Linked DNA regions of Notamacropus eugenii. The protein of the gene in region 1 interacts with the protein of each later gene in a pairwise test. Links are inferred from orthologs where the notes say so. Each region holds a gene or a part of one and is shown in the gene's direction. Other genes may lie near its edges.

Region 1 (7,325 bases):
TTGTAAAATGAGGTAAAGAAGGACATGGAAAACCACACTAGTATCTTTGTCAAGAAAACCCAAATGAGTTCACACAGCTAGTAAGTGTCTGTGGTTGGATTTGAACTCAGGAATATGAGTCTTCCTTATCCCAGGCCTAGTGTTCTGTGCACTATGGCACCACCTAATGGCCCATTAGACATGTGCAAATAGTCACATACATTCATATATGTATATGCATATTCATATATGTATATGTGTATATTTTACATGTGTGTATGTGTTTAGAGAAGCAGCTGTTGTCAAGGTTGGGAAGTGTGTGGCACACTGCTTGGAGACTGATCCCACCCCTGTGCCCTCCCCAGTGGCTATGTGCTTCTTGGAAAGTCAGGACACTTCTCAAGACCCAGAGAAGGAGACTCAGGGCAAGGGTTGATCTGCATTGGAAGAGAAAATTTCCTCCTGGGAGATCCCTATACCAAAGCAATTATGCATCAAGTCCAAATAAAAAACACATATCCTCATGTTTACATGTATCCTCCCAGTATTCAATCAACTAACTATTAGGTAGTGAGGTATTACTCTGTGCTAAGTGTGAGGCCACAAATACAAACCAAAAACATTGGTGCCTGCGCTCAAGGGACTTATGCTCTAATGGGGGAAGGTAACACATTAAATGGTACTAAGAAGGGAGGAAGGAATCAAGGTATGATTTTGAAGCCTTCTAAGTCCTAAGGCACTGTGCTAAACTCTGGAGATGTAAAGAATGGCAAAAACGTGGTCCCTGCCCTCAAGAAGCTCCCCCTCTAATTGCTAGGGGCAGGGAGACAACATGCAGGTCCTTAGAAACAGGTTGTATGTTTGTTTTTTGTTTTAAATTTTTGTCTTTCTATCCTTTGCACCTTGTCCAGTTCTTTTTGTGGGTCCTTAATAAATAAATTGGATTGGAGAGGATTATGGAGGCAGAAAGGACAAGGCTTGGCAAATACTTGCTTTGGGGATAGGATGAGGCAGAATGACCTCACTGAGGTTGCAGACCTCACAGACTAGGTATAAGATAATATATATCAATGGACCCTGAATGGACTGGGTGAAATGGGCATTCTTTTTTCCCAGGGTTCTGAAGTGTAAATATAAGTCGATTGAGCTTGGTCCTCTTATTTAGAGGGCCCCCAAATTTCTGCCATTAATAAAAATATGATTTAGTGCCTTCCAGAGCCATAATTTTTGATATACTAACCTGGGTGCCTAAAGGGGTTATTTCAATTCTAAATGAAGTGATTTGTTCTCTCCTTTTTGGTGAGGGCTATTGTGTTTTGTTATATTCCAAATAAAATTAGGAATGGAAAAATATGCTACTGATTCAAGCAAATTGGTCATTGTTCCTCCTTTTAATACAAATTACAAATACCATATAAAATAATTCTGTTTGAACCCCTGCCCCTTCAATTTGTGATGTTATTTTCTCCAAAATAGACACTGATATTTTAACCTTAAATTAGATCTAGATAGGAAATTGACATGGGAGAGAATAAGGAAGGAAAGACAATTGCCTACCTCTTTCTGACATCACTGAGAGCTGTTGCATGTGACATAAATATGTGGGGAAATAGCTTAGAAAAAAAGATATAGATGTAGAGGTCAAAGGAACATTGGTGGTCAGGTTGTCTAACTCCCAGATTTTACAGACAAGAAACTGAGGGATCCTCCCCTCCCCCCAAAATACTTTACTGTAGATATTGTTCCCAGCAAGTTTCTTTGGAATTCCTTCTAAAGTCCCCCAATTCCAAATTTGAAGATCTTTCTCCAAGCAGAAAATACTTTGGACTTGTCTGAAGCTCTGGGTTCTAGAACTGAGCTGCTAGCGATGTGACCTTTGGCAAGTGATTACACCTCAATTCTCACCAAATCCTCTATCATTCTTCCCCTACTGGATTCTAAGCCCCTTCAGGGTAGGGAATGCTTTCATTTTTGTTTTCAAATCTATCAGAGAGTCTGACACACAAAAGACATTTAATACACATTTGTTGAACTAAATCTTTAGGAAAAAATGGAGAGAAGGATGGATTTGTTATCAGTCCCAATTCCTCCACTTCCTAGCTTTGTTACCTTGGAAAAATTGCTTAGTCTTCCTATACCTCAGATACCTCATCTGTAAAACCAGCAATTTGGCTTCAGTGACCTCTCAGGTCCCTATCAGTCCTAGATCTGATTCTATGATCTTACTGTACTTACCTAACTCCCAGGACTCTTGGTACTGTGGGTAGAGATAATATATGTGGAAGCTCTTTGTAAAGAATGTCATCTAACTATAAGTTACTATTAGTATTAATAACAGGTACCAGGCTTAAAGGCAAAACTCAGTCATGTGAATTTTGGTGGCAAGCGAGCTGGTGGATCAATCTTTCAAAATTCAGGGTGCATTATCATTTCTATTAGTCTTTATAAATACCAACATTAAACACAGTACAGTGGGTGCTGAAAATCATTTTAGAATGCCATGAATAAATTGCAAACATTTAAGCTACTGCCCAGACCTTTTTTTTCATTCACTCACTTGCTCATTCAAAAGCTTTACTCTGAAGCTGGTATTCTATCTTATGTACAAGCAAAGCCATTCAGAGCACTTGGCTCGAGTGAGATTGTTTCTAACAAAGGAGAATGGAACAATTTGAAAATTCACAATTCTATTTGGAACCAACATTCCATTTTCGTGTGCCCAGGGCCGTAGGGGAAGCAGCGCTGGGGGCTGGGGGTTAAGGGGAAGTGGCTTCACAAACCGCCCCACAGTATAGCAGCGCAGCGCTGTAAATATTTTGGATGCAGATGAGAAATTGGCAAAAAAACACACTCAGTCTCCCTCCTACACCTTGTATGTTGCGTGCTTCCTGGCAGGCAAACTTTCGCTCTCCATCTGTGTAGGTCAGCAATGAAACGCGGACAAAAATTTAAATCCAGGTTAGAAGCACTAATCAGCCGCTGCTGTCACAGGTACCTGGCGCCTGGATCGTCAGTTGGAAAGGAGAGTTCTCCCTAGTACCGGGCATTTCCCCCGGGGAACTGCAGGCATTGGAGGCCCAGAGGGTGGGGAAAGTGGGGAGGTGGGTGGCAATTTCCATTCTAGGGCTCATCACCCTTCCACCCCCACATCCTTTCTCAGCTTTGGCAAGATGCACGAGTGACCGTGAATAAGGGGCTAGGGGTAGGGAGCTGACCCCCATCCTGTTGCTTATGCAAATTTCAGCTTTGCCCTAGTAAGTGGCCTGGGCGCCGCGGTTGCCTACGCTATTGCTCCTTCTTTTCTTTCTTTCTTTCTTTCTTTCTTTTTTTTTCCTGTGCCGGACGTGTGCGGCCCACTGCTGGAGGCCGATCTCACCCCGGTGCCCTCCCCACTGCTCCATCAGTCCTTATATGCACTGGCTGCCGCGGCGGGCCAGGCTACTCCAGACTGCAAACAACAGTGGGGTTGGGGGATAATGGCCTTTATTTATTATCATAATTTCTTAAAACCATCGGGATGTGGACCCCGACGTAGAAGGCGAAGGCACAATTCGATCCCTGGTGAAGAATCTGTCTTTTTTTGCTGCAACGTTCCCCCCCAACACCGCCACCCCCAGCTCCGCAGCGATAGAATTTCTTCCCTTTTCTCTGACAGCCCCCACCCCCGCGGGTTCGCTGTATGCTCAGGCACGTTGTAGCAGCTCCAGCCCCAAAACAGGCGAACGTGCCGGGGACGTGGAGGTGGTGGTGGTGGAAAGAGGTGAGATGTCCTCCTCTCTGCCTCTCCAGTCCCCAAGAAGGGCTGGTGCAAGAGACTGGGTCAGGAAAAGCTGGGTCTATTGAGCCGGTGGAGGCCACGCCTCTCTCTCTCTCTCTCTCTCTCTCTCTCTCTCTCTCTCTCTCTCTCTCTCTCTCTCTCTCTCTCTCTCTCTCTCTCTCTCTCTCTCTCTCCCTCCCTCCCTCCCTCCCTCTCCCTCCCTCCCTCCCTCCCTCCCTCTCCCTCCCTCTCTCTCTCTCTCTCTCTCTCTCCCCCTTCCTCCCACCCCCCTCCACTCTTTTTTTTACTCCTCCCAGGAAGCTGTGATAGACACTTGTGTGCGGCGCTCTTCCCCCCATCTGAGTGGAGGAGTTGAAGTGTCTCATTATAACAGCCAATGCAGCGGCCATCCACGCACCAGCAGAAAAGCATGTCCCATTTAAATACACCCACGCAGCCTCGACTCCCTTAGCAGCGCTGCGCTGCCGCCTGGGCCGCTCTCAGCACCAGCAGCAGCCCACTCGTGCCTCCTCCTCCTCGCCCTCCTCCCCTTTCCCCTCCTCCTCCTCCTCCTCCTTCTGCTGCTGCTGCTGCTGCTGCCTGGCCGAGGCGGACTGCCTGGCGGCCAGACCTCGGTCCCTCGCTCTCCGCGGCGGCTGCTGCTTGGACTGCTGCGGAAGGTTGCTGGGGGGCACGACCCCCGCCCGCATGAGGGCGGCCAGCCCCTAGAACTAGGAGGCAATTCAGGGGACTGCCAGGGCACCCGGGGCTCGGTTTGCCCGGCAAAGGAGCCAACATGGCGAGCGACTCCCCGGCTCGCAGCCTGGACGAGATCGATCTCTCGGCTCTGAGGGTGAGCTTGGGCGCTCTCGGCGCCTGCCTTCTTTCTCCTCCCCGGGCGGCTGCATCCCACGATCTGGAGGCATCCATCCTTCGTGGACCGCGGCTGGGGGTGGGGGCGCGAGCGGCGCATGGAGGAGACGGTTGTGGGCTCGGGGCTTTAGAGGGACCTGCTGGGGGCTGTTTGCATTGGGAGCTGCTCTAGAGTCACTTGCCTCCAGGCTGGAGATGGATGCGTGCCGGAACGGACGGATGGGTGGATAGACAGACTGGGTTGCCTTTGGTGGTGGGGACTGATGCTTGGAAAGGGAGATGCCCGGGGGTGTGGTGTGGTGTGGTATGGTGTGGTTGGTGTGTGTGTGTGTGTGTGTGTGTGTGTGTGTGTGTGTGTGTGTGTGTGTGTGTGTGTGTAGGAGCAGCTCACGCCGCCGTTTACCTTTCGCACGGGGCTGTGTGTACAACACCCAGTTCGCCATTCCGTTTCTCTGAGTAAGGGCCACTGGCAGCCACCTGCTCCCGGATGCCCACTCCTGGCGGGCATCGGGCAAACGATGGAAGGCTCAGAGCTATTCCCCTTGGGCAAGAATACAATAGTAATCAGTGTTCAAAAAGGCTTCGCCCTCTCAGAGGCAGTCTGCCAGGGGGCTGCTGAACCTTCTGAATTTGGCAGACCGTATCAGGACCAGGGTCCTGATCAATCCGCTCCAGCTCCCAGTTTTCCTAGGGTGTCTTTCTACCTGCAGCCTGACATTAGAACCGAGACCTCCTTGAGTTCCGGGTGTCACCGGGAAGGGAAGGTGGCCCCGAACGGCTTCCAGGCTTCTAGGACGGCTATGCCAGACTTGTCCATACAAACATTTCCCGTCTCCTCGCCCTCCCAGCCTCACTCCCTGTCTGGCTTCCTTTAGGGAGCTCTTAGGGGCTTGCTTGCCCCCCACCCCCACCCAGTCACCTTTATTTATGCCTTTAACTCCGCCTTAGCTCAGGCTGCTGATCTGAGTCCATTGATATTTCAGTTTTGTGACAAGCAAAAGGGAAGATCCAGATCTTCGAGTGTGTGTGTGTGTGTGTGTGTGTGTGTGTGTGTGTGTGTGTGTGTGTGTGTGTGTGACCTGCTATCAGGCCAATTCACCTTTTTGGGAAACTCACTCAGATGCCGATTCTCTGTATTGACCAAGACATCCCTAAGATAGAATCCATTTTGTTGCCGCCGGGTGGTTTTTAACAGCCAAATATCAGAAACCCCGATGCTGGCAGGATGTTTTCTTTTTTCTCTCCCTCCCCCACACCCCAACACTTGAAGCTAAGGGGCTTTATTTTCTTGCCATTTTAATGAAACCCTGCCTACTGGAAAACTGGATGGGGGTGGAGGACTTCAGAGCAGAAGGAGGAGAACATTGGGGGCCGATTTAAGAAATGCTCATTAGCTTTGCATACTACAAAAATAGCATTTCCCTGTGTTTGATGTGTCCAGGGTCGGAGAAACTGAATGGGCAGGTACAGAATCCCAAATACCTATATGTTCTCCCTGGCGAGGGATAAAACCTGGTGCCCAAGGGATGCCAAATCTATTTTTTGAGGGGGGTGTTATTTCTTTATCGCTTTCAGAGCCCGAATTAAACTCCCTCTCTTTTCATATATTTTAGAGAGCTATTACTGTGATGGAGAAAATCTTGGCACATTTTTTTGGAATAACCACTCACTTGAATCATATCTCTCTCTCTCTCTCTCTCTCGCCCCCCCACCCCCTTCCTCTCCCTCCTCCACCACCCCTAACTTTCCCTTCTGATTCTTTTGGTCTAAGGGAGGGGAGAGGAGGGGGGCAGTTACTGACAGGTAGACGTCTGAAGGAGTAGGCATAACATTTGCAGAGATATGACCATTCAGACTTGGGGTGGGGTGTGGGGGAGTGGGTGAAGCTCATTCACCTTTTAACACAAGAAGGTTTTGGGAATCCTTGCCCTGGCACTGATTGCCACATTCAAAAGGGACAATCCCTGGTGACCATCTTGGCACAGCTAAGGAGCTCTGAGGTTGTGAGTGAGTAGCTTTTATCCTGAGGGTTTTTTTCTTTAAAAAATGCAGCTATTCCTATGTCCTACTTTCTGCACCCTTGAGTAGTGTGGCTGTAGGAGAGTGAGTGGTGGCTGCATAGCAGTTCAAGGTGCAGAGAAAATGGGAATTGGGCATCAGGGACTGGAACAATGGAAACCACAAATGCCATTTCCTCTAGGATAGTGATCCCAAGCAGTTCCCTTTGGAGAGAATTTCAAGTTGAGGGGGATGCATGCCTTTCTGTTGGTTCCCATGGAAGGTTTTGTACAGTTGAATCTGAAGGAATACAGAGCTACCTTGCAAGCATCCATGACCAGTGGGTAGGGCTGGTTTGATGCTGTCTCTAGTCACATTCTTCTTTCCTGTGTGTTTCACTTTCTTGCCTGTGTGTTTCAGAATACCTGGTTTGTATCCTGTACTGAAACTGACCAGCAAGCCTGAGGCTCGCTGCTCTGTGTTCCTTCTCTGGCATACTGCCAGGTAAGGGTGGGAGAAAGATGGCAATGGCAAAGCATCAAGGAGGAGAACTGGGAGGAAGGAGGCCTGGTTAGGGAGGAGTCCATGAGAGACACAACTTAAGCCCAGGCAGGATGCCAAGTTGCCCCCAAACTAGGATTATTCCTCTGGGGTCAACAGAGAAAACTGTTGGTGAGGAAGAGGGACAGAAAGACCGAATGACATCTTCTGGATCCTC
Region 2 (7,609 bases), on another chromosome or scaffold:
AGAAGAAAGGATAAAAGGCCAGGGACTGGATCTATGATTTTACTGGTGTAGAGAACTCTTGGATAAGGAAATTCTACAAATGCAAGTCCATGCCTTTTCTGCATCCTATAGTCTAGTCTTAAGGGTGTTGGCTAGAGCACTGAGAGAAGTTTACTTGCCCAGGGACACACAGCTAGTATGTTTAACAGGCAGGACTTGTACTTGGCTCTCTGGCTCCCAGGCCAGCTTTCTTCTCAGGAAACTTCCTTCTCTCACACATATTGTTTTTTAATTGCATTATAGCGTTCCACTTCATTGCTACACATCTGCTTTGATGGCTCTAGGATCTCATTAATGTAGATAGTCTATTGATAGACATCATAACCATATATGCCTTTTCAGTCAAAACCACAAATGAGATCTACTCAATGGTCTCCTTTGTAGCATAGTAGTTTCTGGCACTTAAGTCAATCTGTTATTCCTCACCTTTGCTATATGACTTCCCTTTCTGGCCATACATGCCCTTGATATCTTCTCTGCCACTTTTTGGATATGGCATGTACTATGAGAAGATACCATTCAGCCATTCCCAGCTCTTGGATATTTAGGTGTTTTCCCTATTGGATTTTTATTTTTTTGGTAATGACAATGGTAATGCTGCCATAGATATCTTTGAAAAGATTACCTTTTCCCCATCTTTATTTTTCCATAACCACAATTTTGGGGGCAAACTTCAATATCTGAATTATTAGGGTTGTTTTAAAACCTCTCCTATGCCATCAGTTTTTCCTAAAAGATTTTTTTAAACCAATGTGCAATTCCACAAGCAATGTACGTGATCACTCACAACCCTATCCATATTGAATCATCACTGTTATTTTTGCCAATTTGTGGGAAAATTACTTTAATTTATATTTTTGTTAATAGAGATGAATATTTTTTCTATTTTTAAAATATGCCCTTTTAGAAATAATTTTATATTCTTGATCCTTTTATTTGCTGAAGAGGGAAAACTCTTGAATATCTGCATCATGACATTCTTTATGATTTATGTGTTTTTAAATGATGTTTTGACTCCATTGAGTCCTTAAAATTCCTTTCACGGGAAATATTAAAATTCAAAAATCTAAACATCATGATATATATTTTCAAGTTGAATTTTTCTCTTTTAATTTCCTTTGAATTGCTTTGTGTTCTATTTTTATGACACATCAGAGTGCTATGATTCTCAAGGGAAGAGTGGCTGGTCTGGCTGGACCTGACATAAGGGAGAAGCAGCCATCTCTATTAATTGGTCTAAATATGTTGAAGATGAATGAATCTCTCTTGCAAATGTGTCCTTTACCATTAGAATGGCCACAACACTCCTTATACCCTCTTTATATTTGAAAACAAAGTTTTGTCCATTTTCTACTGATTTTATTAAATGTAAATATACCATTATATACATATATACTCCTATAAATAATACAGGATAATTTAATTCTGGGGAGGAAATCATTTCAAATTTGTGCAACTGGGCCTTTCCTCACTGATGACAGATTTTGCTCAGGGAAACATTTCTGAAAATGTTTTGTCCCAGTATAATTTTTAAAAATTGTTTCCACTAATCACTTTATTTGCTATTTCCATAAGTCTTTGAACATACATTAATTTTTCTGTAGCAACTGCAACAAAGGTTTCAATTTTGGAAGTGTCTGCTGGCAATATAAATGCTTGCAACCTAAGTGGATTGGTGAGCTGTTAGATTGTAGCAAATAAAGTGGGTCTTTCTCCTTAATGCTTCCCCAAACCCCTAAAATCCAGGACGTCTGCTCCTTTCTCCTTCCCCAAGATACATATAGTAGCTGTTATTGTATTAAGTCTTTCCACATTTTAATTTACGGACATATACAGATGTCCCTTAAATCTTCATACTCAACAGGAGAGGAGATTGCATTAGGAAGCATCCATCATCTTATTCATCATGACAAAAAGTGCCCACAAGCATCTGATAAACCCACAATACAAACAGTAGCACATATGCTGATACACAAAGGTCCCTCAATTATTTTTTAAATTGAGTTTCTGAATTCACAAACCAAAAAGGGGACTGACAGTTTGAATTCTTCCCCTTCAATGGAATTCTTTAAAATTCTTTTAAAAGGGGCATTCTGAAAATGAAATTGTCTCTTAGTTTAGGTCATAATTGCCCAGTACCAATTTTATTACTTCTAACCACAGGATAAGGATATGGTTTGGGTCTAATAAAACAGGTTAGATTGGCTGGCTAACTCTAGTTATCCTTATTCAATTAGAAACATAATTATTTATTTATACTAATTCTGTGATCTTTCAAGAGAAAATTGTTGAGTTTTAGAGCAAGTATTTAAAAAATAAAGTAGATCCGATTTACTCAGCTGTTTAAATATTAAACAGCTTGGCATTGGGCAATGATAAATATTTTAAAAGGTTAAAATGAAAGAAAGGATGGGCTTTTAGAGCAAAGGATATGTTAATTTACAGAAATCCTTATTGACTCATATTGAGTCCATCGGTAACAATGTCAAGTAGGGTCTGGAATTTCACTGAATTGCTTTGTCAAGCTGTACTGATAGAGAATTTGAGAATTACAGAATTGGATTGGTCCTTTCAGAGATCATCTACCCCTCTGAAGTGTATGGGGTGTTCAGGAAGGCTTAGCACCTCTGGTAGGAAGGCTTCTCAAGCTCTTTTCGGAACTGCTCATCCACCTTTGGTGTCCACTTTTCACCCATCTCTCACTCGTGGCTCCAAGAAGGTATGGCATGCACATCATCCACACCCTGGTAAATCTGTTTTGGCAGACAGGCTAAACCAGGTGGAGGCCTCAAACCTGTACTTAGAGTTACTGGGGATGTCTAGCCCCCTACCCTCAAACACAATGGACAGCTTAGAGCTTGGTTAGATATTGAAGATTCCAAGGTCATCTACTTTATCCTAGGCCATCACCAGTCATCCTGACTTTTGTCCTGCCACTGGACTTGGATGACTCTGGAAGAGAGGCTGAGGTTGATGACTTTGCACAACTCTACCCCACTTAAATCCAATCTATGTGCAAGTCAACACATCACCCTGTGATATCATTGGTCCTCTTCAAAAACAAAAACAACAAAGGAAGAACAACAGTCCTCTGGTTAAAGATAGGTGAAATTGTGGCAACCCAGATGTGCTTGGCGCTGGAGTTGGTGAAAAGATTTAAAAAAAAAAAATCAAACAAAGGATGTTTGCCCTCTGGGAGTTTCTAATCCAGTACTATCCAGGACAGATGATCTCCTTTTGAATATTTGAGGGGACAGAAAACACTCAGGGACTAGGACCTTAATTAAATAATCCCATTCAACAAACTAAAATTCACCAACAAGTTATTAACTATCTACTATGGGTGAGGCATTGTATACATAAAGAAAAAATAACTGCTGTTTTCACATGTTCCTGGATTTCTATGGGAACTGATAGAAGAATACATTCAAATTCAAGCCTGAAGGAGGAAGGTTTCACCCATCTTTCCAAGGATCCTATCAACCAGGGATGAAATTTCTGGCTCAAAGTCCAACTTTTAACGAAATACCCTTTAATCGTGGGAATTTGCCAAATCTTGCCATTAGTATCTCAAGAATGAATCTCAGATATGATTTCCTTAGCACCAACTAAAGAAAAGCTGCCTAGAACAAGTTAGTTGGATATTCTAGAGGATCCCCTCTGTCACCAATGTTTCACCACAAAAATAACCAAAATGAAAGGATGTGACATAACTCACCTGACAACTGCTTACACTTATATGATATCTGAAGATATGCAAAACATTTTCATGCTGTTTCAATCCAGAAAGGAGGCCAGGAGAAATCGAAGCAGTGACAGCGGGGGAAAAAAGGAGTATTTTCTCTGGGCCTGAATGTTTCTCTGGGCTCACAAATTAGAGTCAGTAAGAGTCGGGTCCTTAGCTTTCTGCTTTAAGTCCAGAAGGTCACCCCAACCTCCCAAGCCCAGTGACTTCATTCCCTTTTTCTTTTTTTCAAACAGAGAAAGGGCAGGAGACAAAACTAAGAAGAGGGAAGCCTTGGCATCGCAGAAGTCAGGCCTTGAGCTCTGAGTGATACCTGGCTGGAGGGGATGCCAAGGCTACAGCCAGTACAATCTCAGCTTTACTGAAACTGTCTTCCTCAGATCGCACATTTCACTGTAGGCTACGTGTGCCTCAGTTTCTCTGCCTGGCTCAGCTCTCTGTTGGCGCTCACATGGCTGGTAGAAGAGGCCGCAGAAGTGCTGGTTAGCCTTGGATGTGTCTGCTGATTCCCTTACTGTACAAAGCTTTGGGCAAACATCAAGGCTCTCATTTGCAGTATCTCTGGCCTCTGTTTTGGGGGCTGAAACGGGAATCGGACGGGAAGCGCTTTGGAATCTCCAAGGCGCAGTCTAGACGTCAGTAAGAGGCAGCATGGCAAGGGCCGCCAGGAGGGCGCTGGGTTCGAGTGCTCCCCCCCGGGAGGCCCCCCCCACCCCCGGGCTCATCGCTGACCTGCGGGCGCAGGTGCTGACCTGCCCTGGCGGAGAGCGCCCCCCCACCTCCCTCCGCCAATGAGATGACGGGTCTCTGCGGTCCGGCCCCCTCAACGTCGGTTATTCCGCGGGGTGTCCCCCGCACTACGGAGACCATTACGTAAAGCGCTCTGCAGAGCTACGAGCCGGTCACGGTCAGTCAAGATGATGGCCAGGTGGGGGAGGGGGGAGCCTCTGAGGGCCCCGGGCCCCGAGGCTGCGACTGCAGCGGCTCCGGCCCAGCTCTCGGCCCGAGGGCTGAGGGCGGGACTGGGAGGGGCCGCGGAGGGCCGGCTTCCATTCGGTGACGCGCAAACCGGGAAGCGCGTCGAGCCGGGGTGACGGCAGCTCCCCTCAAGCCGGCCCTACGCATGCGCCGTGGGCTCCTCCTTCCCCTCCCTCCTCGGCCGGTCTGGGGCGGCGGCGGCGCGGTGACGTCAGGGCGCTGGGGCAGCTCCTGTGACAGACCGAGCCGGAGCGGCGGGGCGGGGGCGGCGGGGGCGGCAGCGGCGGTAGTAGAACCGAGGAGGTGGGAGGGGAAAGGAAAGCGAACAGGCCGACGACAAGAACGGACGAGCCGAGGGAAGGCAAAGAGGCTGAAAGGAGGGGGGAGCGCGTGCGAGCGACAGAGCCGGGCCGGAGCGGGAGCCAAGGCCGCGAGCGCCGGCCGGACTGCGGCGCGAGCCCCCGAACGGCCGAGGAGCCGCGCGCGCGCGCCCGCTCCCCTCCCCCCCACGCCCGCCAGCCCGCCCCGGGCCCGGGCCCTGCGCGCCAGCCCCCCTCCTCCCCTCCCTCCCTTCCCTCCTCCCTCCCTTCTCCCTTCCCCTCCCTCCTCCCTCCCCTCCTCCCCTCCCCCGCCGGTGGATGGGAGTGAAGGACGGAAGAGGCCACACCGAGGCGGCGGCGGCGGCGGCGGCGGGCTCTCGGGTAAGGCGGCGGCCGGGGCCTGCCCTCGGGCTCGTTTCTTTCTCCCCCTCCCCCTCCCCTCGTCCTCGGGCGGCGCCGGCGCAGGCTGTGGCCGGGGCTCGGGTTGGGGCTAGGGCTCCGCGGGCGATGTGGCTGCGCCGGTCCCCTCCCTCCTCTTCCCCCTCCTTCTCCTCTTCCTCCTCTCTCCTCCTCTTCTCCAGCCTCCCTCCCTGGCTGCCCTCTCCCTCCCTCCTGCTCCCCTCCCCCCGCCGCCTCCTCCTTCTTCTCTCCTCGCTCTCAAAATGGCGGCCGCGGCGGCCGTTGGGTGAGAGACCCGGGAGGGGCGGGAGGGGGCGGCCGGGGCCCGGCGGCTGGGGGAGGGGGCGAAGGGGGCGGCCCCGCCCGCGCCGCGGAGGGAAGGAAAAGATGCTCCCCCTCGGTGACTTTGCAGGAAAATGCAGGAAAACTGGGGGGGGGGGGAAGAGGAGGAAGGCTCGGGGAACAGGTTTCTGGTCCCCGGGCCCCCGAGGGGAGGGGTTCGCCCCGGCCCGAGGCCCCCGGCCCCGCGCTACCGCGCCGCTCCAGGCCTCCCGGGCCGTGCGGACGGTGGTCTCCCAGCCCCCCCCCCCCCCCAGCGGCAGCCTGCGACCGGATTGGGCGAGGTGCTTGTTCTACCTGGTGGGGCCCCCTCCCTGAAACTGGGGGGGCTGAAATGGTGGTGGCCCTCAGGGCCGGCGTCCTCTGCCATTCGGGGACATAAAGCATCTCTGTGTGACTACTCCCCACCCCCCATCCCCCCACCCCCGGCCCTCCCAGGTGAGAAGCGGGCCCTAAGGGCCGCAGGTCAGGTTGTGGTGGGGACTAGAAGAGCATCCCTGGAACGTGAAGCCCACCCGGAGGGCTGCTGCCCCGTCGGTGCCGGGGGAGGCGGCCGAAGGTGTCTTTGCTTTATCAGGGACTCGGTCATTCCTTAGTGACTTGGCAAGAAACTCGTTGGGAGGAGGGTAGGAAATTTTCCTTTGGAGCTGGGGGGTGGGCAGCCAGTTTAGAATCTGGTAGGGGAAGAGATTTGTGCTTTGGGGGAAAAGGGCCTGGTTTGTGTTTTCTCGTTTAAGGAGAGGAGATGTAAATACCAAGAGTTCCTCCTCCCCTTTATTCTAAAGAGGTGATAAGGAGAGAATGAAGATATTTTTGTAATTTTGATCTTCATATACATAAAGTAAATCTTTGCCGTCAGAATGATGGAAAGATTAAGTATAAAATAACTGCAGGGTTTTTTTTATTATATTCTTGTTTGGGGGTGGGGTTGTTTTGTGCATTTCCTTTTGAGGCGAGGGCGGAGGAGACCGTACTTGGGCCTTTGATACCAATAATAATGTCATTCCTCTCCTTTTGCTATGGTAGCGTTGGGGTAAAATTTTTCTACTGCAGCAGGGCTTGGTTGTTGCAGGTCAAATCCTTTATCAAGAGAACAACCCTTTTTGGTTGCAGTAGGGAATGAAATAAGGTTGATTCCGCATTGAAAGCTTTCTTTGACCTTTTATTTTAACCAATCTTTGTGACTGAAGCATACTAATTAGGTTTTTAATCCTTAATGAGTGATATTATTACAGTTTGTCATTTCACAAATAGGGGACATGTAAATCTCAGTTATTGAATCTGTGTATTTGGGTTGGTTAATTTATTAAAATCATCCTTCAATATTTAGGATATCAAAGAAGGGAGTAAGTAGCCCACAAAAAATGATTTGAAGCTGAGCATGATGTCAAATAAAGCACTGTTTTGAAAAATTCATCAAATACATGCTTGAACAGTGGAGTTCTAATTTCTGAACGTCCCTCGATTTTTAAATCCCCCTCCCCTTGGAAGAAAAAAAACTGGATAATATTTGCGGATGCTGCGTACAACCTTTGAGAAGACTGGGTGGAGTAAGGAAGCTGAGCAATGGCTAGGTTGCCCTTTCATTGCATTTTTTTTCTTGTTTTTTGTTGGGCTGTCTTAATACTAATTGCAGCAATAATTATATTTCTGCATAGTAAACCTAATAGCAGAAGGGACTTTGTTAAATAATCTGATGCTCTTGGTTTCTGTCATTTTTGTAGAGTCCAGGGAGAAGTGATCAGTCACTATTCTAAAGCAGGGACTTACTGCTTGGTTGTATATTTTA
Region 3 (7,802 bases), on another chromosome or scaffold:
TGTGTGTATATATGTATGTGTATATATATGTATGTATAATATATATCTCAAGACCTGCCCTATGAAGTCCACAGCACAGGTAATATTAACCTCATTTTACAGGTAACAAAATTGAGACATAGAGAATCTTGCTCCAGTTCCTCCAGGTGGAGTCCACATAGTGCAACTGAAAGAATAATGGTTTTGAACCTAGAACCCTGGGTCTACTTCTTGTACCTTTGTGACTTTCCACTTACTTCCTCCACTGTCAAGTAGGGGTGCTGGCCTAGACAATATCTAAATTTTGTGATCTCAAATTATTTGAACCCAGGCCTTCTAACTCAGAGTTTATTCCCCCTTTCTTATTATTCCATCCTGAATTTCATGATGTCTCCATAAAATATGTGAAAGATATGAGTCACACACACACACACACACACACACACACACACACTTTTTATAAATGGGAAACTGGAATTCTCTCAGTGAATTGGGACTCTAAAATCCATGTCTTACAATTCCAGCACAGTTGAGTTTCTAGTGAGTTTGGTCAATACCAACAGGCAATGAAAGACCTAGAGAGAAGCATCTATCAGTCACCAGGCTCAGTTTGAAGTGACCTCAGAGGCCATCTACTCAACCTCTCCATTTTACAGATGAGGACAATGAGGCTTTGGGATGTAGCATCATAGGCAGGATCTAAAGCCAAGTCGTCTGACTTCAAAGCCAGGGCTCTTTCCACTGTACCAAACTGCCCCCTGTAAGTCAGAAATACAAAGTACAAAATCCCTCACAAAAAAATAAAAAAATAAAAAAGCTCCCTTAAAGAGGAAAAAAAATTTAAGAGATGATAAAAGTTTAAGGAATCAAATTCCTCCAGCTTTCAAACGTATAGACTCACAAGAGATGGTGAAAAGAATGAGTCTTGGCACTAGAAAGCCCATACTGAGTTCTCTCTCTGCCACTTACTGGAAAGATGAAGTTCAGTATTTCACTTAATCACCTTATGCCTTAGCTTTACTAACTGAAGCAATTAGAAAAATAGTTGTTGGCTATGAGGTCATAACCTTGGTGGGAGTCTCAAGTGATATAACATGTGAAAAAACACTTTGTAAATATGAATGTGCCAAATAAATATGAGCTATTAGTAAGCCAAGCTAAAGTCTACACAGCTGTATCCTAGAACCAGTAGTGAGAATGAACCCACTGGAGATTTAGGGGGTCAGATTCTTCAGTATGAGGTTTTGTAACATAATGGATTCCCCTAAAGTTTCAGGTAATTTTTTTTTGCTCAAAGTTGTGCTGCTTGCAGTTATCCCAGAAATATTTGTATGAAAACATAGTAGCAGCAAAAAAAGGAATTTACAGCAAAATCCTTAATAACTTGTCTGAAAGCCTTCAACATATCAGCAGAGGGATAAAGGGAGCATTGGCCTACTCAACCAAAGCTAGGAACTCATGAGTTCTTGAAATTTCCCTGAAACATTTTGTGCCCTATTTAATCCAACAGTATAGAACCTGGAACTAAAAATCTTGAGTTGAAATTACAACTCTGAGGTTTACCAGCCATGTATTGGGCTTTGGACAAGGTATTATGATACAATAAGCATCAAGAAAATGGACTTGGAGTCAGAGGACCTGTGTCCAAAGGCCTGCCTTAAGTTTGATCTTAGATAAGTCATGTGACTTTTCTAGGCCTTAGTTTTTTGATCCGTAGCAAGGAGATAATAATGCTTATACTACCTATTTAAGTCCTAAAGAATTTAGCTAAAGTGTCACACTAACAACTTATTATTTAAGCATTTAAACATTATTTAATATGTTACTTACACAATGCCACATTTAATCTGTAATCTGGTCATATAACTAATTAACCTTTACACCTAGTCCTTTAATGTTTCAGGACTGCTTCCCTCATCATAGCAGCCCTTTGTGATAAGGTGACGCAAGTATTGTTATTCTCATTTTATAGATGGAGAAACTGAGATTCACATAAATAGTAAATATAAAAAACCAAAATTCTGAGCTCTAGGTTCAGTGTTCTTTCCACAGGACCACACTGATTTCCAGACATCTCAGTGGTTTCCCTTCCCATGAATTGTGGAGCCAAAATCACAGCATCATTTTAGGTAATTTGTCATAAAATAAACGAAGGTCACTTTTTACAGACCACCAACACTGATGCACACCTTCCCCTACTCTACCATCTATTTCAGGTGTCCTATCACCTAGTCTGCTCTCACAAAAGTCTGTGTCCTCCCTCATAGTATCTCCCATCATAACTGAAATTTCCCAGGGCATTGTGGAAGCAATGATATGGCCAGCGGTATATTTTTAGTTTGGAGTTAGAGTTGTGGATAGAACTGTGATTTCATTAGTGGTAAGAATTGCCAGCGAGAAAACTCCCTCTACCAATGGAAGATCATTGTCTGTTCTGTAATTTCTGTAATGGCCTGGGCCCTTGAGAGGTTTAGTAACCTGCTCTGGATCACATATCTAATACGGGTTCAAAGGCAGGGCATGAGCCTCGTTCTTCCTAAATGTGAAGGCTGCTGTCTCCATCTGTTCTGACACAGTGCCTCTCCAGGTTGGTTTGTGAAGGAAGAATGATGTCAGGGAAAGAAAAAATATGCTCCTTGAGGGCAGGGACCACGTCCTAGATAACCTTTACAGCCCCTCCCTGTCCAAATCCATGTTTGTTGTTAATACTGGTAGTATGATCATAGGCAAGGTAATTCATCTCTCTGAGAGCGTCTTTCCATTTTCAAAATGAGGATAATAATAACTGCTCTTTATAGTGCCTCTAAAATGTGAGCTATTCTAATCATTATCTCTACCCCATATCCCATGACTTTGAGGGTAAAACAAAAAATCAATTAATAATATAGTCTATAACAAGGTATTAATGTGACCTTTGCAGTGACCTTCTTGAGTCCCACCTAACTTGGTTAAAGCATTTGTGACTGAAGGTGCTAATAAACAGGGAAGGATCTGGGCGGGGGGAAGCCTGGCATGCTTTTTCAGCAGCCTTCAAATTACTTTGAGTATGCAACTTCATGCATAACCATTTATGTATGGAAGATCTCCTCTACCGTCAGAGCCTTGTCTGATTCTAAAGCTACTACAGGAAGGAAGGAAGGAAATGAGCATTTATTGCAAGTCTACCATGAGCCAGCTGTGCTGTGGGAAGCTAGGTGATAAAATGGATAGAGTGTTGGGCCTGAAGTCAGAAAGACTCATCTTCCTAAATCTAAATCTGACCCCAGACACTTACTGCTGTGTGGTCCTGGGCAAGTCACTTAACCCTGTTTGCCTCAGTTTGCTTATCTATACAATGAGCTGGAGAAGGAAATGGCAAACCACTCCAGTGTCTTTGCCAAGAAAACCCTAAATGAGGCCATGGAGAATTGGTCACAACTGAAAATGACTCAACAACAATAAACAGCAGCTGTGTGTCAGGCACTATGCTAAGCACTTTACAAAAAACATTTTTTGATCTTCCTAACAATCTTTGGAAGTAGATGCTATTACTTCCATTTTCCCATTGAGGAAACTAAGGCAAATGGAGGTTGAATAACATGCCCAGGGTTCCAGAACTAGTAAGTGTTTGAGACCAGATTTAAATTCAGCTCTTCCTGACTACAGGCTCAGAACTCTGTACGCTTAACTATCTCTCTCTAGCATACAAGCACTGTAAGCACCAGTCTAGGCTGTTCCTAGGAAGGAAGACTAAAAGCTAACCTAGGAGGTTAACACTGGTTCCCCTGACCCAATTTTGTAGAGAGTTCATTTCCAGGACCCCTGGAATTTCTTATCAGCTTGTGGGTTAAACATCCCAGATAGAGGCAGGAATCTCAGAACTCTTTTGAGCAGATTAAAATCATTCATGGCCAGTAGAACTAACCATCATTTGATAGGTCCTCTTAATCACTTGATGCAAATAGACAGCACTAATCTCCCTAGGGAAAGGAGTTGCTGAATTTATCCCAGTGTAGACCATCCTGCAAAACCACAGTAGCAGGGTCTTTACTTGGGAAATCCAAAGATTTACTGTGTAGTTCCTAATCACAGGGCAATAGGACTTACATTTGGAAAGGACATTGGAGATTATCTATTCCAGTTGTCATCAACCAAAGGACAAAGAAAGGAACATGTTAGTGATTAAAAGCTGTTGCAAAGAATCAGTAAATCCATAAACACACTAAGCATTTTACTTCCTATTTTTATTTAGCTTCAATAAAATATATAGAAATTCAGTATAACAAATGAATAAAAATAGTTTTTTGTAAGCTTAATAAACATCATATATACATATACAATTTTTCATATCATTAATGTTAATTAAAATACAAATTAATTTTAAAGTACTATGGAATTCAGAAGAGTTTTTGTTATTATATATTTTTAAATCAGTGTAGTACTCTGTGAAATGTTTTGACATTAGCAGAGTATCATAATTGAAAAATTTTGGAATCACTGATGTAATTCAACCTCCTCATTGTACACTTAAGGAAAGTGAGTCCCAGAAATAGTATGTCGTATACAAAAGTTCTATAGCTAATAAGCAGAAAATTTGAACTGATATCCTCTGATTCCAAAACCACTGTCTTTTTACTTTACTGTGTTGCCTACAAAGCTTAGGAGATCTTAGAAACGTAAGTAAGAATATTTCTACGCCTAATGGCAGTTGGTGGGCTATAGAGCCTGCTAGTTAACAGATTTAGAGACAATGATATTAATATTCTATTCCTATTTATACTCAAGTAAACTAAAGAGATGCTATATGTTGTTTTCCATGTTTTACAGATGGATAAACTGAGGCACAGGGAGATTAAGTGACTCCCCCACGGTCATACAGCCGGAGAGGACTAGGATTAGACCTCAGAGCTCCTGATCCCCAGACCTGTGTCTTTCCCATTGAGCCACCACGCTGCCTCCCTACCTAAGAGAAAATACTTTCTGTAAGGTAAATGGTGGTCTCTTCTTTATGTTTGGACATATGGAGTGCCTGAAAACATACACACACACACACACACACACACACACACACACATATATATATATATACATAGTAAAGTAATATGACCTATAAGTGCATACTCAGTTCTAAGTAACAGAAGTAGGAGTTTTTACCTTTTTTTCCTATTTGTTTCCAAATAAGGTCTGGTTTGGGTGATTTTTAAAATATTTGTAACTTATCATTTGAGCCAGTGAACATTCAATTTTTCTGAAACAGACTTGAAGGCCAAATAAAACTTACCTCACTAAATCCATAATCCTCTGATTCCAAGAAAAGCTCTACCTTCTTATTTAACTTCTAACCTATGAGTTAGAAGGGGAGCTTTGTCACCTCAGGGAAAAAAAGGTACAGTCACTGGAGGCAGCATATGGTGTAATAACAAAAGGTCCAGAGGATGCAGGTTTAAATCCTTGTTATGCTACTTAACTTGGAACTTTGGACTATTCACTTAACATTTCTGAACATCAGAGATTTTGACTATCTAAACAATTATGGTCATGATACATGTGTTACAGAAACAAAGAAGACATAATAAACAGGGAAACATTTAAATATGAAAAATAAGCAGGTATATTTGTGTGCATGGGTGGCCAGAGTTATACACAGGTGTGCATATGAAGCAACACATAAAGAAAGTTAGGAATCACCTAATCCAATCTCCTCACTTTACAAGGATGAAACTGAGGCAGAGAGGGAAGTAATTTGTCCATGGTTTCATAGATAGTAAGTGACAGAGCCAGGGGAGGAACCCAGCTCCCTGATCCCCATCCTTTGCTGTATGAACTATGCTATGCTGAGAATCAATCTCCTCTACACAAATTCAACCATCTTCAAGAAAGAGATAGGTGGGGGGCTGGAGGGGCAGGGGGAACATTAATGGTATGGTATAGAGTGGTACTAAAGCAGCCAGACAAAATTCTAAATAGAACATCTGCTTGCTGCTCTGTCCTTTCCCTTCGCCAGCATATAGGGAAACAGTTCCTGATCTGGTCAATCATGAAACCTTTCAACATTGTGATCCTGTCGCCTGCCTCCTCCTTCTGTGACCTACTCTCAACCTCAATTCTCCCCCATTCCTCAGCTCAGAAAGCACCTCTGTCATCAGACCTTTCATGCTCCCATATTTATTAGCTTCTCCCCACCACCATCAATTCCTCTGTATTTATTTTGTATATGTGCACATACTATCTCTCTCTATAGAATATAAACTCCCTAAGGGAAGGAATTGTTTCATATATATCTTAGTATAAAAGCACAGTGCTAGGCACCTGGGATTTAATAAATTCTTGTTTCTTAATTGATCAAAATGAAAAAAGAATCTGATATCAATTATTTACCCTTTGCAGATAACTGACTTATTATACCTTGGTCTTGAACTCATTCACACTGTTATACTATCCCTACTATCATTCACATTTTAATTTTCCTATGTAAGAGAATAGTGGGGAAATATAGAGAGCTAGAGGAGTCCATGAAATCATCCTAGGTATATTCAGAAGCTGGAGGTATTGAAAACACAGTCTTCCTGCTCCCTTATAGGAGATATGTTGGAATGGGCCAGTTTTTTCTCCTGCAGGCCTAAAAGAGCTGCAGAAAATAGTAAATGGCTTTGAAGGAGTTGTATAGCTAAGGATCGATAAATAGTAGAGTTCAGCAAACACTGTCATTAGCAACCAGCAGTCAAATCCAGGGGAAAGCAGAAATACATATCCACAGGACTATTTCTTCCCATGGGAAGAAGAACCCATGACCTTCTGTCACTTTCTTCAAGTTCCTGCTGCCAACCTGGCCCTCACATCCAGCTGTCAGCAGTCCCCTTCCCTGTCACCATGGTCCTCTTCCCAGCCTAATGACATTTCCCAACTGATAAATCAAAGCATAGAATCACAGAACTTTCAGGGCAGGAAAGGATATTAAGGATCATCTAATTCCTCATTTCTAGTCCAAATTTCCTTATGAGGCCCAGGGAGGAAGAAAGATTCCTCCAAGGGAGTAGCAAGTTGTTGTCAAAAGACCACTGAATTTGCAAATAGATGATCTGGTTTTGAATAATATTCCTGCTACTTACAGTCAATAATCCATTGGGCAAGTCACTTCCTTCTCCCGGGCTTCATGTCCTTTTCTGTTAAGTGAGAGAGTTGAATGAAATGGTCTCTACAGTCCCTTTCAGTTCTAAAATCTAAGTTTACATGGCTAGCAAATAGAGAAGGCAGGACTGGAATTCAGGTCTTCTGACTCTTTTTAAGCCCTGCCCTCCCCTTCTTTTGTCCTTCAATGGGAGTTGTTTCCTGGTACATTTGACTTGGTTATTTTTAGTTAATGTCGAATTATCTTTTTGTACCACAACTTAGTTTTACCTGATATACAGGAATGCATTCCTCAGTTTCTTATATTATTTCTTCCTCTGAGAACAACCTTGTCCCTCTAGGCCTTAATTTCCTCCTCTGTAAAAATAGAGACGTAGGCTCCTGGAGTTAATAGGAAGCCACTGGAATTAATAAACTAGCAGGGATGTGACATGATGAGAATCATGTTTTAAGAAAATCACTTTAGTGGCTAAGTGGAAAATGAATTGGAGTGAGGAGAGACTTGAAGTAGGCAGGTCCAGCAGAAGGCTAATGCAGAAATCAAGGCATAAGGTAATGAGGATCTGCACTAGAGTGGTAGCAGTCAGAAGAGAGAAGGGGGCGTGTTTGAGAGATGTTGCCAAGGTGAAGCCAACAGACCTTGGCAGCAGCTCAGATATGGGGAGTGAGAGAAAGTGAGTCTAGGATGACTCACTCTTAGATTGCAAGGCTGAAGG
Region 4 (7,099 bases), on another chromosome or scaffold:
TCCTCACTGTCCACTGACCCAGTCACTCACACATTGGCAGAACTCCCGGTATCGACCTTGGGTTATGGAGGGACTCTCCCGTCGCCACACCTTCCCAATGTGATAGCGTTTCATCTTCTTTATCTTATTCATGGCCAAGTAACGAGCAAAAGGGACCTCACAAGAAATGATTAAGGAAAAAGCACTCTCCCTTCCAGAACTGGTAACCAACTGCATCTACACAAATCAGATACTAGAGAAATTCCTATCTCTGCAGTAGATTCCAACATCATCTTGTCAAACTGAAAATTCAGGGAAAGGGAAACAAGGATCTAAGTGGTTTAAGACCCCTGGGATCCTTCCTTCCTATGCACCTCAATCCTTAATTCTCCCAGATTATTTAAGTTTGAAAGCCTGATTTTCACCATTACCTTCAGTCCTTACTTTACTGTGGACATGCTTCCTTGAGCCATCTAACATAAAACAGAAATCAGAGCTCCAGATATGACTATGACATCTACAATTCCCTCCCTTGACTTGGGAAAGGACAGTCTGGGATAAAGTAAAACAGTTCTTAGAAGGATACTGTGAGGTCATATCGAAGAGCCAGGAGCTCCCCACCCTGATCCTTCAGGTCATAGATGAGTCTGGAGTCCTCTCCATACTTCTCTGTTAGCACTTCCTGGACAAACACAAATCTATAGCTTAAAAAATATGGTTTGGGATACTGGAGGCTAAGAAAGGAAGAATTTCAATACTACTCCTCCCTCCCCCGCTTTTTCTTTCTGTCACCTTTAGTTCAAATGCTGGAGTGTCTAGCCCTTTAGCTCCATGGCGCTTGAAGCAGCTGATGATAGCATTAAGGATTTTCTCTCGAATAGCCATCTGTTGAGGGCTAAGATCTCTGGTACCCTATGAGCCAAAAGCAACCAGAATAAAGGGAAGAAGGTGAAAAGTTTAAAAACAAATTGTACAAATTTGTAGGAAATTTCCCTGCAGGAAACAGGGAAGGATGAATAGACCTTACAACAATGGTTTATACTTTTAAAGCACTTTTAAGGTTTGTAATGCACTTTACACACTCTCTTCTCACAATAACCCTATGAGGTAAGTACTGCTATCATCCCCATTTTACAAATGAAGAAACTGAGAAGTGAAGTATCCTGAGAAAAGTTACATAGTTAGTAAATGACTGACGTAGGATTCAACCCAGCTCTTTCTGACTCCAAGTGCAATCTATCCACCATATGATACGCTAATTCACTGCAAGGTCCCACCTCAGGTAAGGGCAGACTGCTCTTCCCAAGCACCCAGGATACTGGAAAAGGAGACCAAAAAGGATGAGAGAAGAGGATTACCTTGGGAGTCTTGATAACAAAATTGGATTTCTCTTTATCTATTTCCGACTGAATCTTCAACCTGGCCTCTGCAAACTGAAAGGAAATGATTATGGCACGCTAAGCAAGAGATACTTATCTCTGACCCCCAGAATTTCTAGTCTTCCAGTTACAAGAAGAAAGTCCTACAGGCTCCACACTTGTGCCCGAATTGTGTTCATAAAGGATTTTGAATGAAGTCAGATCTTTTTCCCAGTGGCTCTCATTGTATTGATATCTCCATCCCACCATACAGCATGATTTACTCTCATTCAGTCAAACTCAGCTAGTCAATTCTACTCAAGACTTTTTGCTAACTGACACCCAAGGAAACTTAAGACCCAGAAACAAACAAGAACTTACAAAAAAAATAAATTTATGGCAAGACCAGAACCTAAAAAGACTCTAATTCTACATTCAAAATATAGTAATAAAAATGGCAGATCAGAAAGGTGACTCCCTACAAAAGGGCTATGGCCCTTTGGATCTAGATGGGTTCTTACAGAAAGTTGCTTTAAAATAAAGATACAAAAATAAACCAGATTATGATACAAGAATAATTTATTAGATTTTTATTTGTTAGCTTTAGATTATTAACTCCTCTACTGAGGCAGCTGGTGGCCCAGTGGCTAGAACACTGGGCTTACAGTCTATAAGACTTGAGTTCAAATCTGGACTCAGGCACTTACTAGCTGTGTGTCATCCTAGGAAAGTCACAATCTATTTGCCTCAGCTTCCTCAAATGTAAGATAGGAATAATAACAGCACCTACCTCTCAGGGATGCTGGGAATCAAATGAGATATTTGTAAAAAAGTGTTTAGAATAGTGCCTACCTAGCACATAGGAGGTGCTATATAAAGGCTTATTCCCTTCCATCTCCCCACCCCCCTCAAAGAAAAGGATGAAAGATTTGGTGCTGGAAGGGACCTTAAAGACCATCTAACTCATTTTAAATACAGATAAGGAAACTGAATTCTAGAAAGTTTTACTTAGCTTACCCAAGGTCATACAAGGAATTAGTGACAATTCAGATTTAAACTCAAGTCCTCTGAATCCAAATTCAACATAATTTTCTCTGCATCACAATATTAGACTGTAAATTCTTCAAGGGAAGGAACCCTATCATTTTTTTTGGCTCTATGTGTAAAAAAATGCAATTGAATGAAAAAATACTAGATTATAGCAGGCTATACAATAAGACTTTTTGGAAACCTGAGAAAACACAGAGTGGTACCTCAAGATAGTCCTATTTAATAACTGGGTGATTGATCATTTAATTTAAATCATTTAATTTCTCAGGGCAGCAATGTATTCATCTCTAACAATGATTACAGTAATAATTCACTTTTCTATAATTCTTTAACGTCTGCAATGTGTTTTCCAGACACCTGTAAAGTAAGGAGTGTGCAAGTATTATCCCTATTTTTAAAATGAGAAAACAGAAATTTAGAGAGGTTAAGCTTTCTAAATTTTAGGACCATAAAATCTCCAAAGAAACCATTATTACCTGCTTTGGCCCTTCATCACAAGGACCATGGGACCTTTCTATCTGATTTGCAATGAAAACATTCTGTATATGTGGTTTCCTCTACTAGAGGGTGAGCTTTTTGAGAACAGGGACTGCACAGCTTTTCTATTTGTATTCTCAGTGCTTAGCCCAGTGTTTTGAATTTAGTATGTGTTCATTCGGTACTAGAAAGGGCCTCAGAAGCCAATTATCTCAACCTGTACCTAAACAGGGATCCCCTCCATAATATGACAAACAAGACTTGCGTGAAGTCTTCATTCAAGTGAGGATTTCAAAGATTCCCACGGATGATTCCGCTGACAGTCCCGAGGCTCTCTGTACCATGAGTCTGAACAAAACGTATTGAAATAAAGGGATAAATTGACATCGCAGACTGTGGGGCTCCGTCACAAACACTAGGGGGCGAAGCACCGCGGTTCGTTTGCTCCAGATCCAAAGGCAGTTCTGCCCAACCAACCCCTCTGCCGCTGAGGGCCCACTTAGTTTAAACCTTCGCTTTACCGAAGAGGAAACTAAGGTCTTTAAAATAAATCAAGCGTTTTTAAATCTACTCATAAGGTAGGGTACACATTCAGAAGCTGGAGTCCTTGCTTTGAGCGGGCTCAACCACACAGGGGTAGAATCAGGCCGGGAACAGCTGGCGAGCCTGCCGGGGACCCCGACGGTTCTTCCCTTCCAACCCAAACTGGGGCCATATCGACCGATAAGCTGGGACAGTAGAGAAGCCAAGGAGCGCCCAGAGAGAAAGGGGGGAAGGCAGAACGTACCTCCCGCGCTGGAGGCTGCCCCAAGCCTCCTTGCACCCGGCGGAAAAGCAGCGTGGCCCCGGCGCAGGGGGCGCGGGGAGGTCGCAGCAACTGGAGGGCCAGTGCGGCCCAGGCCTCCCGAGACCAGGGTCCGAGGCGCTGCATGGCCCGGGGAGGGGGCTTCTCTTCCTGCGGTTCTGGGGTTCGTGCACACCCGCAGAGGGCTGGACACGGGGGGAAGGGGGAGGGAGGACTGGGGCAGAGAAGGCGCTTGGGCTGGGTCCAGGGAGTGAGAACGGGCTGGTCACCAGGTTAGGGAGGGGGAAACTGAGGCAAAGGGTGCCGGATGTTCCCATGCATCAAACCCGCCAAGGGGCAGGCAGGCTGCCAGAGCGGAGCGTCTCGTGGGAAAGGGTAGGGGATGGGCCGCTCTGGCCTCCAGACTTCCGCTCTTCCGGTTCAGGCGCCCGCCGGCCGGAAGCTGCCTCTGGGCGCGGTTCGCCGGCGGAGCTCTGGGGCCGCAGTCAGTGACAGCCGCGGCCGTTGCAAGGATGGCGGATCGAGCGGCGCTGGAGGAGGCTGTGAGGCTCCAGGGCGAGAGAGTGCGGAATCTCAAGCAGCAGAAGGCGGGCGCCGAGCTGGTGAGGGCCCCGAGAGGGCCGGATCGGGGCCCGGGGTGGACGGAGCTCTGGCTCAGGGGTCCGGTATGGAAGGAGGAAAGGGGCTGGGCGAGGGCCTTGACAGGGACGAGACTCGGGTCCAGAAGGCGACTCCCCCGCCGGCCTCGTTCCGATCCTTTGAGGAGCTCCACGTTCTTTCTTTGGCTTTAGCGTCACAGCGCCTGGGAGACTGCCGGTGCTTTGAATCCCATTGTATAGATGAGGAAACGGAGGTATGGAGGGAAAGTGACTGGCCTACGGTCTCACAGCTTGCTCTGAGTCAGAGGCCTGGAGGAGGGCCCCGGCTAGGGACCACATCCTTCCAAACTCCCGTGTTTATTGAGGCCTTTCCTTCGCAGATCGAGGAGGAGGTTTCCAAGCTCCTGAAGTTGAAGGCAGAGCTGGGCCCTGATGAAGGGAAACAGAAGTTTGTGCTTAAAACTCCAAAGGTAAATGTGTTTTTAGAGAAGCCTTTCCGAGGGTGTTTGATGAGCCTCACTGCATTGTCAGTTCGGTTTATTTTTATATATTGTGTTTTTTTCTTGGTTATATTTTGAGTTCCAAATCCTTTCTTTCTCCCTCTCGGCTCCCACTAGAGAAGACCAACATCTCTCACATACACACACACATGAGTGTGTGGTCAGTTCACTTTAACAAGTTCAAGACACTAATAGATACCGAAGATACAAAGGTGGCAATATTTAGACCCTACCTTCAATTAGACCCTACCTTCAAAAATTTAGTGACAGAAGCCCCAAAAGAAAATTAAATAAGTTCAAGAGGAGAGGTCTAGTCACGGTGCCACTACAGACTTAAAAACATGGCTTTCTCTTGGGAGGAAGAAGTGTTTAGCGTGTTTCGGAAAACAGACACTTTTGGGCATTCAGCTGGAATTGAGTTGTACCTGTGCGTTCTGTTTTTGTCAAGATAGGCAGGATTTTAGTCATCTCAACCTTTGGGAGAAATAACACTACTGCAGATTCTTAAGAACAGCAGCAACTCTTGTCTGTTGAAATATCTGCTTTTTTTTTCCCCACACTTCCCAATTAGTTGTTATAGAAATAAAATGTAGATTATCTTTAGGGATTCCATAGTTAATCAATTTTAAAAAATTTTTTATATTAAGACAGTTAACTTAAAAATCAACCAACCAAATATCCCTCTCCAAGCACAACTCTAATGCCAGAAGTTAAAAGCCTTCTTTTATTTAGATGATAGCTATCCTACCTAACCCCCTTCAGTCCATGCAGATTTGGCTTGGTGGTTAAAAGGAAATTAAATGCAATTCTGTTCCATTATAATTGAGATTATAAATGGAATACTTCTGAAATACCAACTCCTCCCGCTTTCTTATTACTGAGTTGCTTGTTTGCTTGCTTTTTTTCTCCTTTGATTATTTTGACTACTAGGGCACCAGGGATTACAGCCCTAAGCAGATGGCTGTTCGAGAGAAGGTTTTTGATGTGATCATCAGCTGCTTCAAGCGCCATGGTGCCGAAGTAATAGATACCCCTGTGTTTGAATTGAAGGTGAGGGCCAAGGCCAAGGGAGAAGCGTTTGGCAAAGAGATGGGGAGGAATGTAGAGCAGATACACAAGTCGATTAGATACCAATGGGATATAGTCATGAGGGATCAACTATTAAGATGGGTGTAGACAAGCCCAGCCCTATTCCTGATGTACAGGAACTTGATTGATGTTTAAAAGTAGGAACCAACATAATTTTCCCACATTGATTTCTGTGGCTGTGGTTCCTGTTTTGGATTGATGTTTTTATTGGGGGGTAGTTGCAACCATAAATATTCTTGAAGTCCTCCAACAGAACACCCTACAGGGCAGTTGATTGTTTGCACCTCTTATGTTATTAGGGATATGCAATTAGGCATCTTTATCCAGGGTTAGGCACAGCCAATGAAATAATCATATATTTTCATCTTTTCCTTCCAGGAAACACTAACTGGAAAGTATGGGGAGGACTCTAAGCTCATCTATGACCTAAAAGATCAGGGTGGTGAGCTGTTGGCTCTTCGTTATGACCTCACCGTATCCTTTCAAAGTGAGCTCTAGGATGCTGTCGTTTAGACTGGACTTTAATTGACAGGAGGTGATGGAATCCTCAGATTCAGAGAACATTGGACATGGATAAGAAGAAATTCTTGAATAAGTGATCCAAAGAATCAGTTGGAGAACGAGTTAGATGAAGTCCCTCTCTAAAACAGAGATGCAAATTCTAATTAGCTGGGCCCACCCCTAGGAAGACCATTCAAGAACTTAATATAGTGCCAGGGCTCACATCTGAATCCATTATAAATTGCCTGATTCTGGAAAACCATTCTTTGCCTGTCTTGAAGACTGTTTAGACCATTGAGTAGATCTTCAGTAAAGAATGATGTTCTGTTTTAATTGTTCCAGAAAAGCAGTCATAATATGGGTCCGGTGGGCACTAAGCATAGTGCAGGGTTTCTTCCATATTAGTATTTCTGCAGTGTCAGGTGTCGTCCCTTTGAGTATTCCAAGGTTCCGATAACTCTTGCTAGGGTAATCCAATTGCACAAGGAGCCTGGGGAGAGTGTGGCCACTTTGTTTTCAGATAGCTTCTTCTGGTGTAATTGTAATTGTTACTCTTTTTCTTAGGAATCCTGAGGGTCTTCCCCTCCCAGTTTGATTTTTTTTTTATTATGTCATCATCTTGATGACATGGTACTCTTCGAGAACGAAGGACAAACACAAACCTTGAGTGAGTAGCAGCTCCTCTGCTCTCCTCTCCTCTGTGTTCTGCCCAGAGGAAAGTAAACTCTGTGGCCAAAGCTG

The links.
Region 2: the proteins of TNIK (region 1) and PAFAH1B1 interact in a two-hybrid assay, tested with the Homo sapiens proteins (2 studies listed by BioGRID and IntAct). The link is inferred for Notamacropus eugenii from reciprocal best matches to the Homo sapiens genes TNIK and PAFAH1B1.
Region 3: the proteins of TNIK (region 1) and MYT1L interact in a two-hybrid assay, tested with the Homo sapiens proteins (2 studies listed by IntAct). The link is inferred for Notamacropus eugenii from reciprocal best matches to the Homo sapiens genes TNIK and MYT1L.
Region 4: the proteins of TNIK (region 1) and HARS1 interact in a two-hybrid assay, tested with the Homo sapiens proteins (2 studies listed by BioGRID and IntAct). The link is inferred for Notamacropus eugenii from reciprocal best matches to the Homo sapiens genes TNIK and HARS1.

Annotation. Positions count from the first base shown.
Region 1 is NC_092877.1:352,749,566-352,756,890, forward strand, and holds the start of TNIK (TRAF2 and NCK-interacting protein kinase), read left to right. Parts: upstream 1-4,312; 5' UTR 4,313-4,532; coding exon 4,533-4,589; intron 4,590-7,325. UniProt on the Homo sapiens protein: Serine/threonine kinase that acts as an essential activator of the Wnt signaling pathway. Recruited to promoters of Wnt target genes and required to activate their expression. May act by phosphorylating TCF4/TCF7L2.
Region 2 is NC_092873.1:40,605,145-40,612,753, forward strand, and holds the start of PAFAH1B1 (platelet-activating factor acetylhydrolase IB subunit beta), read left to right. Parts: upstream 1-4,603; 5' UTR 4,604-4,691; exon of another isoform or gene 4,692-4,696; coding exon of another isoform or gene 4,697-5,300; exon of another isoform or gene 5,301-5,463; intron 5,464-5,550; exon of another isoform or gene 5,551-5,767; intron 5,768-5,776; coding exon of another isoform or gene 5,777-6,207; intron 6,208-7,609. Other genes in the region: uncharacterized protein, read right to left, coding at 4,697-5,300, 5,777-6,207. UniProt on the Homo sapiens protein: Regulatory subunit (beta subunit) of the cytosolic type I platelet-activating factor (PAF) acetylhydrolase (PAF-AH (I)), an enzyme that catalyzes the hydrolyze of the acetyl group at the sn-2 position of PAF and its analogs and participates in PAF inactivation.
Region 3 is NC_092872.1:560,946,179-560,953,980, forward strand, and holds the start of MYT1L (myelin transcription factor 1-like protein), read left to right. Parts: upstream 1-4,785; 5' UTR 4,786-4,945; intron 4,946-7,802. UniProt on the Homo sapiens protein: Transcription factor that plays a key role in neuronal differentiation by specifically repressing expression of non-neuronal genes during neuron differentiation.
Region 4 is NC_092872.1:368,091,560-368,098,658, reverse strand, and holds the start of HARS1 (histidine--tRNA ligase, cytoplasmic), read left to right. Parts: upstream 1-4,086; 5' UTR 4,087-4,181; coding exon of another isoform or gene 4,182-4,271; 5' UTR 4,272-4,336; coding exon 4,337-4,522; intron 4,523-4,648; coding exon 4,649-4,738; intron 4,739-5,698; coding exon 5,699-5,818; intron 5,819-6,235; coding exon 6,236-6,331; intron 6,332-7,099. Other genes in the region: histidine--tRNA ligase, mitochondrial-like, read right to left, coding at 31-156, 566-661, 772-891, 1,338-1,412, 3,652-3,795. UniProt on the Homo sapiens protein: Catalyzes the ATP-dependent ligation of histidine to the 3'-end of its cognate tRNA, via the formation of an aminoacyl-adenylate intermediate (His-AMP). Plays a role in axon guidance.